Mus musculus: one gene and its partners. The main gene of each other region encodes a partner of the protein of the gene in region 3 in a complex. Links are inferred from orthologs where the notes say so. Each region holds a gene or a part of one and is shown on either strand. Other genes may lie near its edges.

Region 1 (3,747 bases), on a different chromosome or scaffold from region 3:
TGGAAGGCAGGCCAATACATGCCAGTTTTTAGCAAAGAATCCTTTATCACGTGTCCTTTCATGTGCTTGCTTTAGCAGTACATCTCTCTCCTGTGTCTGCTTCAACTAAATGTTCCTTCATGAGTCTGCCTTACTCTTTCACCTGTGTCCACTTCAGGAAAACACTCCTTCACGTGTTAGCTCCAGCAAAATACCTTCCAACACAACTGACAAACCTTAAGCTTCCACTTTACCCAGGACTTCAAAAGAAAAGGCAAGAGAATTGTTAAAAGTTCAAGGCAAGCTTCCTCTACAAAACAAATTCCAGGCCGTCCATGGCTACATAATAAAACCCTGTCCCTCAAATAGAAAAGAAAGTAAGCCTAGTGCATGCCTGCAGACATAATCTTTTTGTTTGTTTGCTGTCTTTTTGGGGTTTTTTTGTTTTGTTTTGTTTTTTAAGACAGCCTTGTTTATGTGCCCCTGGCTGTCCTGGAACTCACTCTGTAGACCAGGCTGGCCTCAAACTCAGAAATTCACTTGTCTCTGCCTTCCAAGTGCTGGGATTAAAGGCGTGCGCCATCATGCCCAGCTAAGTGATTTCTTTTTAATTATGTGTACTTAATAATGTATGCTACCTATGTGTGAGTATGAGCCTATGAGTACTGGTACCTTCTGAGGCTACGAGAAGATTTCAGGTCCCCTTAGAGCTGGAGTTGTGAAATGCTAGTGTTAGTAACTGAACTCAGGTCCTCTTTGAGAGCTTTATTTTTATTTACATGTAAAAAAAAAAAAAACCGTTATTCTTATTTTATATGTGTGAGTGTTCTGGCTACAGCTATGTCTGTTCACCACAAGGGTGCTGTGTTCATGGAGGCCAGAGGGCACTGGATCCCCTGGGATTGAAGTATAGATAGAGAGTTGAGTCAGCATGCTTGTGCTGGGAATCAAACCTGGATCCTTTGGAAGAACAATCATATCCCCAGCTGCCTAGCCTTTCTTTTTATTTTACAAGCATGGGTGTTCTGCCTGTATGTGTGTTTGGGTACCACTCACATGCAGTGCTGAAGGAAGCCAGAAGAGGATGTCAGCTCTCCCTGAGCTGGAGTTACAAAGAAGAGTGTGAGCTACCCTGTGGGTGCTGGGAATTAAATCCTGGACCTCTGCAAGAGGAGCAAGTGCTCTTAAGGACTGAGCTATTTCTTCAGCCCCCAAATTAAATAATAATAATTTTTTGGTTTTTTTTAAATATGTGTAAATGTTTTACAGGGTTGTATACACAGCCCAGGTTACCCTGGAACTCACTTTGTAGCTGTGGCTTAGCCTTAAGTTTAGAGATCTGTTTGCCACGGCTGGGTTTAAGGGCATGTGGTAAAAGTCAGACCTAAAATAACTCACATTTTTTGGTTGGTTTTGGTTTTGGTTTTGGTTTTGGTTTTGGTTTTGGTTTTAGTTTTGGCTTTGGTTCTTCGAGGCCGGGTTTTTCTCTGTAATCCCGGCTGTCCTAGAATTTGCTTTAAGTAGGAGGGGAGTATGAACGGTGGTGGGCAGGCCTGAGGGGCGGGGCTTCATGTATCCCCGCCCATGACGTTAAGACTCAATCAGCGCTGCGGAAGCGACCGCAGAGAAGTGGTGGGACTTCTGCAAGTGCTTCCGGAGAGGTCTCTGCGTGGGAAGTTCTGGGCGCTGCGGGCCAAGCTTCTGCAGAAGATGTTTTATCACGTGAGCTGGATGCGGGGTAACTGTGAGGGGCAGTCACAGGAGGATCCTGGAGGCCCGGAAGGGCCGACAGGTCGCCTCCTGTCCTCAATGTGGCTGGCTGAGTCTCCATCTTCCTTTCTCTGCAGATTTCCCTGGAGCACGAGATCCTCCTGCACCCACGATACTTCGGTCCAAACTTGCTCAACACGGTGAAGCAGAAGCTGTTTACCGAGGTGGAGGGGACCTGCACTGGGAAGTGAGTTTCTGCTTCACAGAGAGGTCTGCTGAATGCACGCACAATGGCGCTAGTCTCTAACCTCTTCTTAACTCCTTCTGTCAGGGCTTGTCGCTTACTCTGAGGAACCCTTTCACCCCTCCAGGCACCTGAAGCAGCCAGTTTTTGCCTGTTTTAGACACTCTGAAAAGCTACTAAAGAAAATTTTCTTCCCTTATGTGAGATAAGACCGTTATTATGCAAATGTTTTTGAGTTTTGAGATGGCCTCACTATGTGGACCAAGCTGGGCTCTAATTCAGAGATCTGCCTGCCACTGAGTGCTGACATTAAAGGCTTTCATCACAATTCTCTGACTCGTTTGTGGTTTTTGAAAGACCTGTCTCAGCTTTGACCCTGGCAAGTCCTCCTGCCTTAGCCTACATGGTACTGAGAGAATAGGTGTATGTCAGCATATCTAGGCCTTCTTGGGCATTTACTGTACCATCATGAGAGCATCATTTAATATTTCATGTGCTAAGCTGGTCGGGGGTGGCGCATGCCTTTAATTCCAGCACTTGGGAGGCAGAGGCAGGTGGATTTCTGAGTTCAAGGCCAGCCTGGTCTAAAGAGTGAGTTCCAGGACAGCCAGCGCTACACAGAGAAACTCTGTCTCGAAAAAACATATATATGTGTGTGTGTGTGTGTGTGTGTGTGTATATATATATATATATATTTAGGTGCTAATCTGTGTCCTGTCTCTTCTTGATCAATGAACCATCTGAACAGAGGTTCTTTCACACAGAGACTCTTATTGCTGGTGGCTTTTCAGAGGCTCTTCACATAGCTGTCTTCTTTCATTTTTCATGCAGATATGGCTTTGTAATTGCTGTCACCACCATCGACAATATTGGTGCTGGTGTGATCCAGCCAGGCCGAGGTTTTGTTCTTTATCCAGTGAAATACAAAGCTATTGTTTTCCGGCCCTTTAAAGGTGAAGTGGTGGATGCTGTGGTCACTCAGGTCAACAAGGTAAGAGTATTATTCATAGAAAGGTTATGGGGTATTTCCTAAGGTGAGGGTTCAGTCCCTAGTCCACTTACTAGTTGCCTTAAGTCTTTTGTTGTTGTTAAGATTCATTTTATCTTAGTTTTTTGGTTTTTCTTTTCTGGTTTTAGGGTTTTCTTTTTTCTTTTCTTTTCTTTTCTTTTCTTTTTTTTTTTTTTTTTTTTTTTTTTTTGAGACAGGGTTTCTCTGTGTAGCCCTGGCTCTCCTGGAACTCACTCTGTAGACCAGGCTGGCCTCGAACTCAGAAATCCACCTGCCTCTGCCTCTCAAGTTAAAGGCATGTGCCACCACTACCCAGCAGGTTTTTTGTTTGTTTGTTTGGTTGGTTGGTTGGTTGGTTTGATTTTTTGTTTGTTTGTTTGTTTTTGTTTTTAGAGACAGGGTTTCTCTGTGTAGTCCTGGCTGTCAGTTTTGTACTTTTGTTTTTGAGGCAGGGATTCACTGTGTAGCCCTGGCTGTCCTGGAACTTACCCCATAGACCAAACTAGCCTTAAACTCAGACATCCACTTACCTCTGCCTCCTGAGTGCTGGGATTAAAGACACGAGCCACCACCACCCAGCAATTTATTTTAATTTTAACTATGTGTACTTGTATGTTATCTGGGGTGAGTGCAAGCCCATGAGTGCTGGTACCTTCTGAAGCTTCAAGAGGGTTTCAGGTCCCCTCCTACCTGGAGTTGTGAGACCCTGGATATGGATGCTAGGAATTGAACTCAGGTCCTCTGCAAGCACGGTTATGCACTCTTAATTATTTAGCCATCTCTTCAGTCCCTTAGGTCACTTTTT
Region 2 (3,747 bases), on a different chromosome or scaffold from region 3:
ACAGCCAGGACTACACAGAGAAACCCTGTCTTGAAAAACCAAACCAAAAAGAGGAAAGAAAGAAAGAAAGAAAGAAAGAAAGAAAGAAAGAAAGAAAGAAAATAGCCAGACATTATGGTATGCACCTTTAATCTCAGCACTCACTCCGGAGGCAGAGGCAGGCAGGTCTCTGTGAGTTCAAGGCCAACCTTGTTTATAGTGTGAGATCTAGGACAGTGTCAGAACTAAGTAGAAAGACTCTCTCAAAAAGAAAAGGGACTGGAGCTCAGTGATTAAGAGCACTGACTGCTCTTCCAAAGGTCCTGAATTCAAATCCCAGCAACCACATGGTGGCTCACAACCATCAGTAATGAGATTGGATACCCCCTTCTGGTATATCTGAAAACAGCTACAATGTACTTATATATAACAAATAAATCTTAAAAAAAAAAAGAAAGAAAAGAAAGGATGAAATGAAGGGAGGAAGGACTAAAAGGTGATATTTGAGCAAGAATCCAGAGATATGAAATAACTGACAGCATTGTCCAGCCCTCAGGTGGGTTAGCCACAAGCTGGGGCCAGCCACCCAGGCTATAGAGTGAGCTCCGGACCAGCTTGGGTTACATAGTACGACTGTCTACTGAGGCCTGTACCTCATGAGATGGCTCATGAGGTACAGGCCTTTTGACCTGAGTTCGATTCCCACACATAGTGGAAGGAAAGGACTGAACCAAATTCTGCAGGTTTCCTCTTCCTTCCACAGGCCAGAGGTATTGGATTCCATGGAGCTAGCCCTAAAGGTGATCGATCATAAGCTGCCTGATTTGGGGGGTGGGAGTGGAGAGTGGGGCGGCTGGGAACCCTGCTCCTCTTCAAAATCAGAAAGTGCTTTTAACTACTGAGTGATTCCTCCAGGCCCTTAATTAATGAAGTTTTGTTTGTTTGTGACCTATGCTTTAACGTCTGAGCCATCTTTCCAACCCATATTAATAAATGCTTAAAAACACGTGCTAGGCAGGGCAGTGGTGGGAAGCAGAGGCAGGTGGATTTCTGAGTTCGAGGCCAGCCTGTACTACAGAGTGAGTTCCAGGACAGCCAGGGCTACACAGAGAAACCTTGTCTCGAAAAAACAAACAAAAAAACAAAAAAAAACACCCGAAAAACAAAAAAATCAAGACGGTCTCCAATTTCTCTGTTATTCTCTCTTAAACACTATTTTCACGACTTGGACAACCAGAACAGAACCTGGAGGAGCGAAGCAGCAATGAACTCTATCGATTCTCTCGACTCTCTTCTTTCTGTGTTCTGCTCGAAGTCCTCGGCGATCCTCAGCGATGCCTCGGGCACCACTTCTCTCCGAAGTCCGCCCTCTCACCGCCATGCGCACGCGCCAATTTTCCGATTGGCAGAGTGACGGGAGGACTCGGCCAATGGCGTCCCGAGGAAGGTGTGTCTCTGGGTCACGCCCCCTCGTTGAATATTCAGGAGCGGGCGTGTGGACGCCGCGATCAGCCGCCATGAAGTGAGATGGGGTCTCTGAAAGAGCGGGCGGCTCTGCGGTGGGCAATGGGGCGGCGGGTGGGCGTCGCCGGGGCTGGGGCGCGGCGTGGAGAGGCTGCGGAGACCGGTCCGGGTGGCTTCGGGGTCCCTGGCGGCGAGACGCCACGAGGGCGGGCGGGCGGGCGGAGCGGAGGCCGAGGCGGCTCGAGAGCACCGGGCACCGACGCCTCACCGCCGCCAGGCTCAACGTGGACGGGCTGCTGGTCTACTTCCCGTACGACTACATCTACCCGGAGCAGTTCTCCTACATGCTGGAGCTCAAGCGCACGCTGGACGCCAAGGTGGGTGGCGAGGCTGCCCTCCTTGCATTCTGATGCCTCTGGCAGGCAAACGTCCTGGTCGGGGCCCGGGCCTTGCTATCCCAGCACCCGGAAGACCCAGGCAGGAGCATCGCTGCGATTTTGGAGGCCAGCCGGGGCTACACAGCGAGACCGTGTACTAACAACAATTGTAAATAACAAGGCGAGGAATGTCGCTCAGTTGGTAGGGTGCTAGCCTAGCTAGCAGGGGTGAAACTCTGGGTTCCATCCTGGCACCGCATAAACTGACTGATAGTAATTACAATTATGCCTGTAATTCTAGAGACAGGGTGGCTGAGGACAGATTGCTCGAGTTTGAAGTACAGTCTGGGTTTCATAGTGAGTTTCGGGCTAGCTAGGGCTATGTATAGGAAAACTCTGGAGGTATTCCTGGTAGTGACAATAGTGGAGGGAAGAAGGGGTTCCGTATGTGGAGGTCAGAGGACAACTTTGTGGAGTTGGGTTTTTCCTTCCACTTCTATTTCGGTTTTGTTTTGTTGTAGATTTATTTGTTTTATGTATGTGAGTACACTGTAGCTGTACAGATGGTTGTGAGCCTTCATGTGGTTGCTGGGATTTGAACTCAGGACCTCTGGAAGAGCAAGCAGCCAGTGCTCTTAACTGCTCAGCCATCTCTCCAGTCCCTCGTTGTGTTTTCTGAGACAGGGTTTCTCTGTGTGATTTTTGCTGTCCTGGAACTTGTTTCATAGACCAGGCAGGCCTCAAAGTCCCAAAAGATCCACCTGCCTCTGCCTCCTGAGTGCTGTGATTAAAGGCATAGGCCAACACCACCCAGATTTCTTATCATTTTATGTGGGTTCTAGGGATCAAATTCAGGCTGTTAGGTTTGATAGCAATCGCCTTTACCTGCTGAGCTATTTCAACAGCCCTGAACACAAACTTTTTAAAAAAAGTTTTCTTTTAGGTATACTTATTTCCAATGTGTGTATACATGCTACAGTGTGCACGTGAGGGTAGAGTTGGTTCTTTCCTTCCGTGTATGTCTTGGGGATTGAACTCGGGTGATCAGGCTTGGCCACAAGCACCTTTACCCGCTAAGCCATATTGCTGGCCCACCAATGTATTAGCCCTCACAACCTTGTTCCAAGTAAGGTTTATGGAGCTACTTAGAAGCAAGAATGCTGTGATCCTGAGAGGTAAAAGGTTCCTACTGTCTGCTGCTCAGTAAACTCATTAGCTGTGTCAGTAAGAGGGCCACAGAAATAGGGTTCAGCCTGCAGTCCCAGTACTCAAAGTAGAGGCAACAGGATTGCCAAAAGTTCAAAGCCAGCCAGAGATTCTTAGTAACTACTAGGCCTGCATAGCAAGATCCTTTGGGGTAGGCGGGTGAGGAATAAGAATTAACAATTAAAAGTCCAGCAGAAGAGGAGGAGCGGAGACTATCAGTCCTGGGGCCTTGACAGCGATGCCACTGCTGTGTGTGTTGCCTTGCTGTTCCCGGGTGGTGGCATGTCAAGGAGAGTTCCCCAGAGCGTACGTTGATGACAGAGAGCCTGTGTCTTACTACTTCTGTGCCCAATTTTCAGGGTCATGGAGTCCTGGAGATGCCCTCGGGCACTGGGAAGACAGTGTCCCTATTGGCCCTGATTGTGGCCTATCAGCGGGTGAGTGGCCTTCTGAGTGCCTGGAGTGGGGGCTGAGGGGTGGGGCTGGATGGGGCTGAGGTCCCTGTCACCCACAGGCTTATCCGCTGGAGGTGACCAAACTTATCTACTGCTCACGGACCGTGCCAGAGATTGAGAAGGTGGGCAATGCAGATGGGACCCATGCTCTGCCCCCTCCCCTGGGCCTTGGTGGTCCCCCATCTCTGCCCTCGGTAGCCCGGTGGGCAAGGACTTGTGCTTGCCCTGTGGTCCCCACCTAATGCTCCCATCATCTGAGCAGGTCA
Region 3 (3,696 bases):
AAATACCCTTCACCTCAAACTCTCTCCTTTCTCTTGCTCATGTTCACTCTCTTGTCAGCTGGCTACTTGCTCTGCCGCCTGATCTAGGGTTGACTTTATTTAGCTCTTGGATTAATGTGCGCGCTAGGTAGGGGTGAGCCAGGCTACCTATACTTGTTTACAGTAAACAGAAAGTTCTAGGATCAAAGGCTGAGCCACAGTTATTAACAGATTCTTCCAGTTCACAATCTCAGGGCTCATAATGTGATCCAATATCCTGCAACCGGAAACTGTTTAAGCAGGGCAGTTGGATAATCAGATCTGTTTCTTACATGGTGGGTCTTACCAACTCAATTAGATGGCATTCAGGTTTCGGCGTCTGAAAGAGTGTATGCTGCTTGCACGGTGTGAATTGATTTTTATGCCTCGAAAAGGCATGTGTCCAGCATACTCACTTGTACTCTAGTGCCCACTTGTGCCAATGTTAATTGGGCCAAGAAAGTGACTTTTTTTACCCCCAAGTCTGTCCTTAAAATGCCTAGCTTCTTTATCTAGGGTTGGGTATAAATACACACAGCTTTTGTCTGTCTAAACCTTAATCTTTCCACTTTGTCACCTTTGCTGTAAACGCACGGTTCAGGATTAGGCTCTTCCTTTCCCAGCACTCGAATCCCAAGATTGCACGTTGCCGGGAGTCACGCCCATCTAGGAAATTGCCGGAGCAGGAAGTTTGTCCCTCTCGGCGCGCTGTCCTGACGTAGTCGTGCGCAGGCGCAGTTCTTCATTCGGCGGCGTGTTCTTCTCATCTAAGTTCCTGGTTCCCGGGCTGTGTGCGACGCCGGCTTTTCGCGGTCTACTTACTCCCTTGGCCGGCTCTGGACTGTCGCTCTCTGCCTTTCAGCGCCGGGACCACTGCTTGTGCGCGCACTGCACGCCTCCTCACGCGACAAGCTCATGGCGGAGCGCGGGGAACTCGATCTGACGGGCGCCAAACAGAACACCGGCGTGTGGCTGGTCAAGGTGAGTGAGACGCGAGCCCCGCGGGGCGCTTCCGAAAGTTCTGGGTCCGTCTTGCTCGGGCCACCGCTGTTCTGAGAAGCGGGTCGCTGTTGCGTCCGTTTGCAGGTTGGAGAAGTTACTTTAGGGGACACAGGGCGTCTTTCAGGCCGTCTCTCAATTTCATCCGCCCACCATGGAACTAACTCTCTTTACCGCCAAGACCTGGCCTTCCTGGAGTCCTGACCCGGTGGTCCCCGAGTGGGCAGTACATTTACCCCAGGTCGGAAAAGTCCTTGCGGTTTTCTTTTTGGTAAGGTTAACTTTAGTTATGAACGTGTATAAATTACTTGAATAGATATTCCGTACAGTTTTCTGGACCACAAAGTGGAGCTGGTCCCTGTGTACTCTGTTGTTTTGAAACAATCTCTCTGTGTAGACTTGGCTAGCCTGGAACTCGCCATGTAGACTCCTGTCGCTTTACACGGCTAGTGTTGCCTGGGTTGGTAATTCAATTGGAGCCTTCGAAAGACCTAGAAGTTCTGAATTCAAAGAGAAGTTGTTGACTTCGTGTTTTTAAAGAGCGAGTTTAGGATTCATGAAACCAACCAGCAGTAAATGTTTTAAGTGGTCATGCGGCAGACCTCGTTTGCCCCAGTGGTCGCCATCTATTCGGGTCACTTTTTTTTATATGGGGTGGGAGGCTCTGTGGGGAATCTCATTCTGAAAAACCATATTTAAATGGGATCATGAAAGTTTCCCAAACTTGTTTTTTAAATGGTTTATCTTTGTAATGAGTGTTTTAAGTCCATGGCTGAGTTCTCATCAAGACAAAGTGTTTCTTCCTGTCCTTTTCTCTGAAACAGCTCTCGTCGTTTGCCAGCACAGCAGACTATGTTAAGTTCTTCAAACCCCTGAACAGTTTCTAGTGCTCCTTTGTACCTGTCTGTATCTATTGTTGATGCCCCTACCCCCAAGTCACTTTCTTTGCACTTTGATTAGTGTTTGGCACATATTACTTTTCCAATATGTGATGAATATAAGAAATTGAAAAGGCACACGCCTTTAATTCCAGCACTCGGGAGGGAGAGGCAGGTGAGTGAGTTCCAGGACAGCCAGAGCTATACAGAGAAACCCTGTCTCGAAAAACCAAAAAGAAAAAGAAAAGGCTGTATGTCAAAGAGACACAAACTAAAGTGGGTAGGAGTTAGTCCTGTCAGTTTCATCGGCGGGCGATTAATGAAACACACCTCTGGGTGTTTCTGGTGCTGTTTCTGGAGGCAAAGTAGGTCACAGGGCTATGATCTAATTAAGGGATTAGTTACTCTGTTGGTGGATTTATAATGTGACTTCTCTGGGAGGTAGTGAAAGGTAGTGGGGCGGGGCCTAGTTGGAAGAAGTAGATTCTGGCTGTATGTTCTTAGGGCTGCCCTGGCCCTCTCTGTATCTCCTCTATATCATGGCCACTGTGGAGTGAGCTGCAGCACTTTTCCTTGTTTTTCCCACCATGACAGATAGAAACTGAGATACCCAGTGCAAAATAAATCTTAAATTGTTTCTGTCAGATATTTGGTCACAGTGACTAAGTCTGACTAAAACAGAGAATACAGCAAAGGGTTATAAGTAACAGGAAAAACGAAAACCTATTCTCTCCTTTCCTTTCCCTTCCCTTCTCTCCCTCTCTCTTCATCTCTCCCTCTCTCTCTCTACCTTTCTTAGTTCAGGCTGGCCTGGAAGTCTCTGTGTAGCCCAGGCTGGCCATAAACTCATGGTAATTCTCCCACCTAGGTGTGTGTTAGAGCACCTGTGCTTGAGTATTTATGTTAGATAAATACACAGATATATATCTTAGATAAAGGAGAGCTACCAAATAGACAGGACTGTGGTGTGCACACCTTTAATCTTAGTACTTGAGAAGTTAGCCTGGTCTACATTGAGTCAGGGGAATGTTGTAAGACCCAGAAACCAGAAGAGGGCATTGGATCCTCTGGTATTACAGGTATGGCTGGTTATGAGCTGCCATGTGGGTACTGGGAATTGAACCCAGGTCCTCTGGAAGAACAGTCAGTGCTTTAAAGCTGAACCATCTTTCCAGCCCTTATCAGACTTAAATAGCAAAACCATTAAAAAGTCCATATGGTATTTTGAGATACATTGTCCACAGTCTCACCTAGCTTTATTTCTGAGTTGTATCACTAGCCTTAGATTCGGTTTTCATATCTGTAGACAAGGGAGAGTACTTTGAAGAGTGATTGAGGGGATGAGTGGGTGGAGGGGATAGAAAGTCTACAAGGAGTCTGACAGAATTGTCTCCTCAACCTTCCTCTTTTCCAGCCTCAGGCCTATCACCTGACACACTTTGGTAGTCTACTAAGTTAATATCATGAACATACAATCAGCCTTTTTTACTCCTTTTTTAAAAAAACTTTAACTGTAATCAAAGTACTGTACCCCCCCCATAATCTTGCTAGACTTCCTTGTCTCCCCTTTGCAGCCCCAACACCTATGTCTCAGTCTGAATTCATTGTGATCACATTGTTATTCCAAGATTACTACGAGAACTAATGCTGACAACTGACAGTCAGTGAATACTTATTCTCCACAACACATATGCTTCGTGTTTTATTAAAGTCTCTTCTTTGCTTCTCATAACAGGATAGCTGAAAGGTCTAAACTACTTATGTGAAGAACAGAGGCAGATTATTTATTAGAGAATTAATA

The links.
Region 1: Gtf2f2 (region 3) and Polr2g share a complex: the UniProt entries of both Homo sapiens proteins name them as parts of the TBP-based Pol II pre-initiation complex. The link is inferred for Mus musculus from reciprocal best matches to the Homo sapiens genes GTF2F2 and POLR2G.
Region 2: Gtf2f2 (region 3) and Ercc2 share a complex: the UniProt entries of both Homo sapiens proteins name them as parts of the TBP-based Pol II pre-initiation complex. The link is inferred for Mus musculus from reciprocal best matches to the Homo sapiens genes GTF2F2 and ERCC2.

What each region holds. Positions count from the first base shown.
Region 1 is NC_000085.6:8,796,413-8,800,159, reverse strand, and holds the start of Polr2g (DNA-directed RNA polymerase II subunit RPB7), read left to right. Parts: upstream 1-1,602; 5' UTR 1,603-1,689; coding exon 1,690-1,701; intron 1,702-1,826; coding exon 1,827-1,936; intron 1,937-2,764; coding exon 2,765-2,924; intron 2,925-3,747. UniProt on the Homo sapiens protein: Core component of RNA polymerase II (Pol II), a DNA-dependent RNA polymerase which synthesizes mRNA precursors and many functional non-coding RNAs using the four ribonucleoside triphosphates as substrates.
Region 2 is NC_000073.6:19,380,559-19,384,305, forward strand, and holds the start of Ercc2 (general transcription and DNA repair factor IIH helicase subunit XPD), read left to right. Parts: upstream 1-1,458; 5' UTR 1,459-1,496; coding exon 1,497-1,501; intron 1,502-1,720; coding exon 1,721-1,820; intron 1,821-3,385; coding exon 3,386-3,463; intron 3,464-3,540; coding exon 3,541-3,603; intron 3,604-3,743; coding exon 3,744-3,747. UniProt on the Homo sapiens protein: ATP-dependent 5'-3' DNA helicase. Component of the general transcription and DNA repair factor IIH (TFIIH) core complex, not absolutely essential for minimal transcription in vitro.
Region 3 is NC_000080.6:76,007,983-76,011,678, reverse strand, and holds the start of Gtf2f2 (general transcription factor IIF subunit 2), read left to right. Parts: upstream 1-813; 5' UTR 814-933; coding exon 934-999; intron 1,000-3,696. UniProt on the Homo sapiens protein: TFIIF is a general transcription initiation factor that binds to RNA polymerase II and helps to recruit it to the initiation complex in collaboration with TFIIB.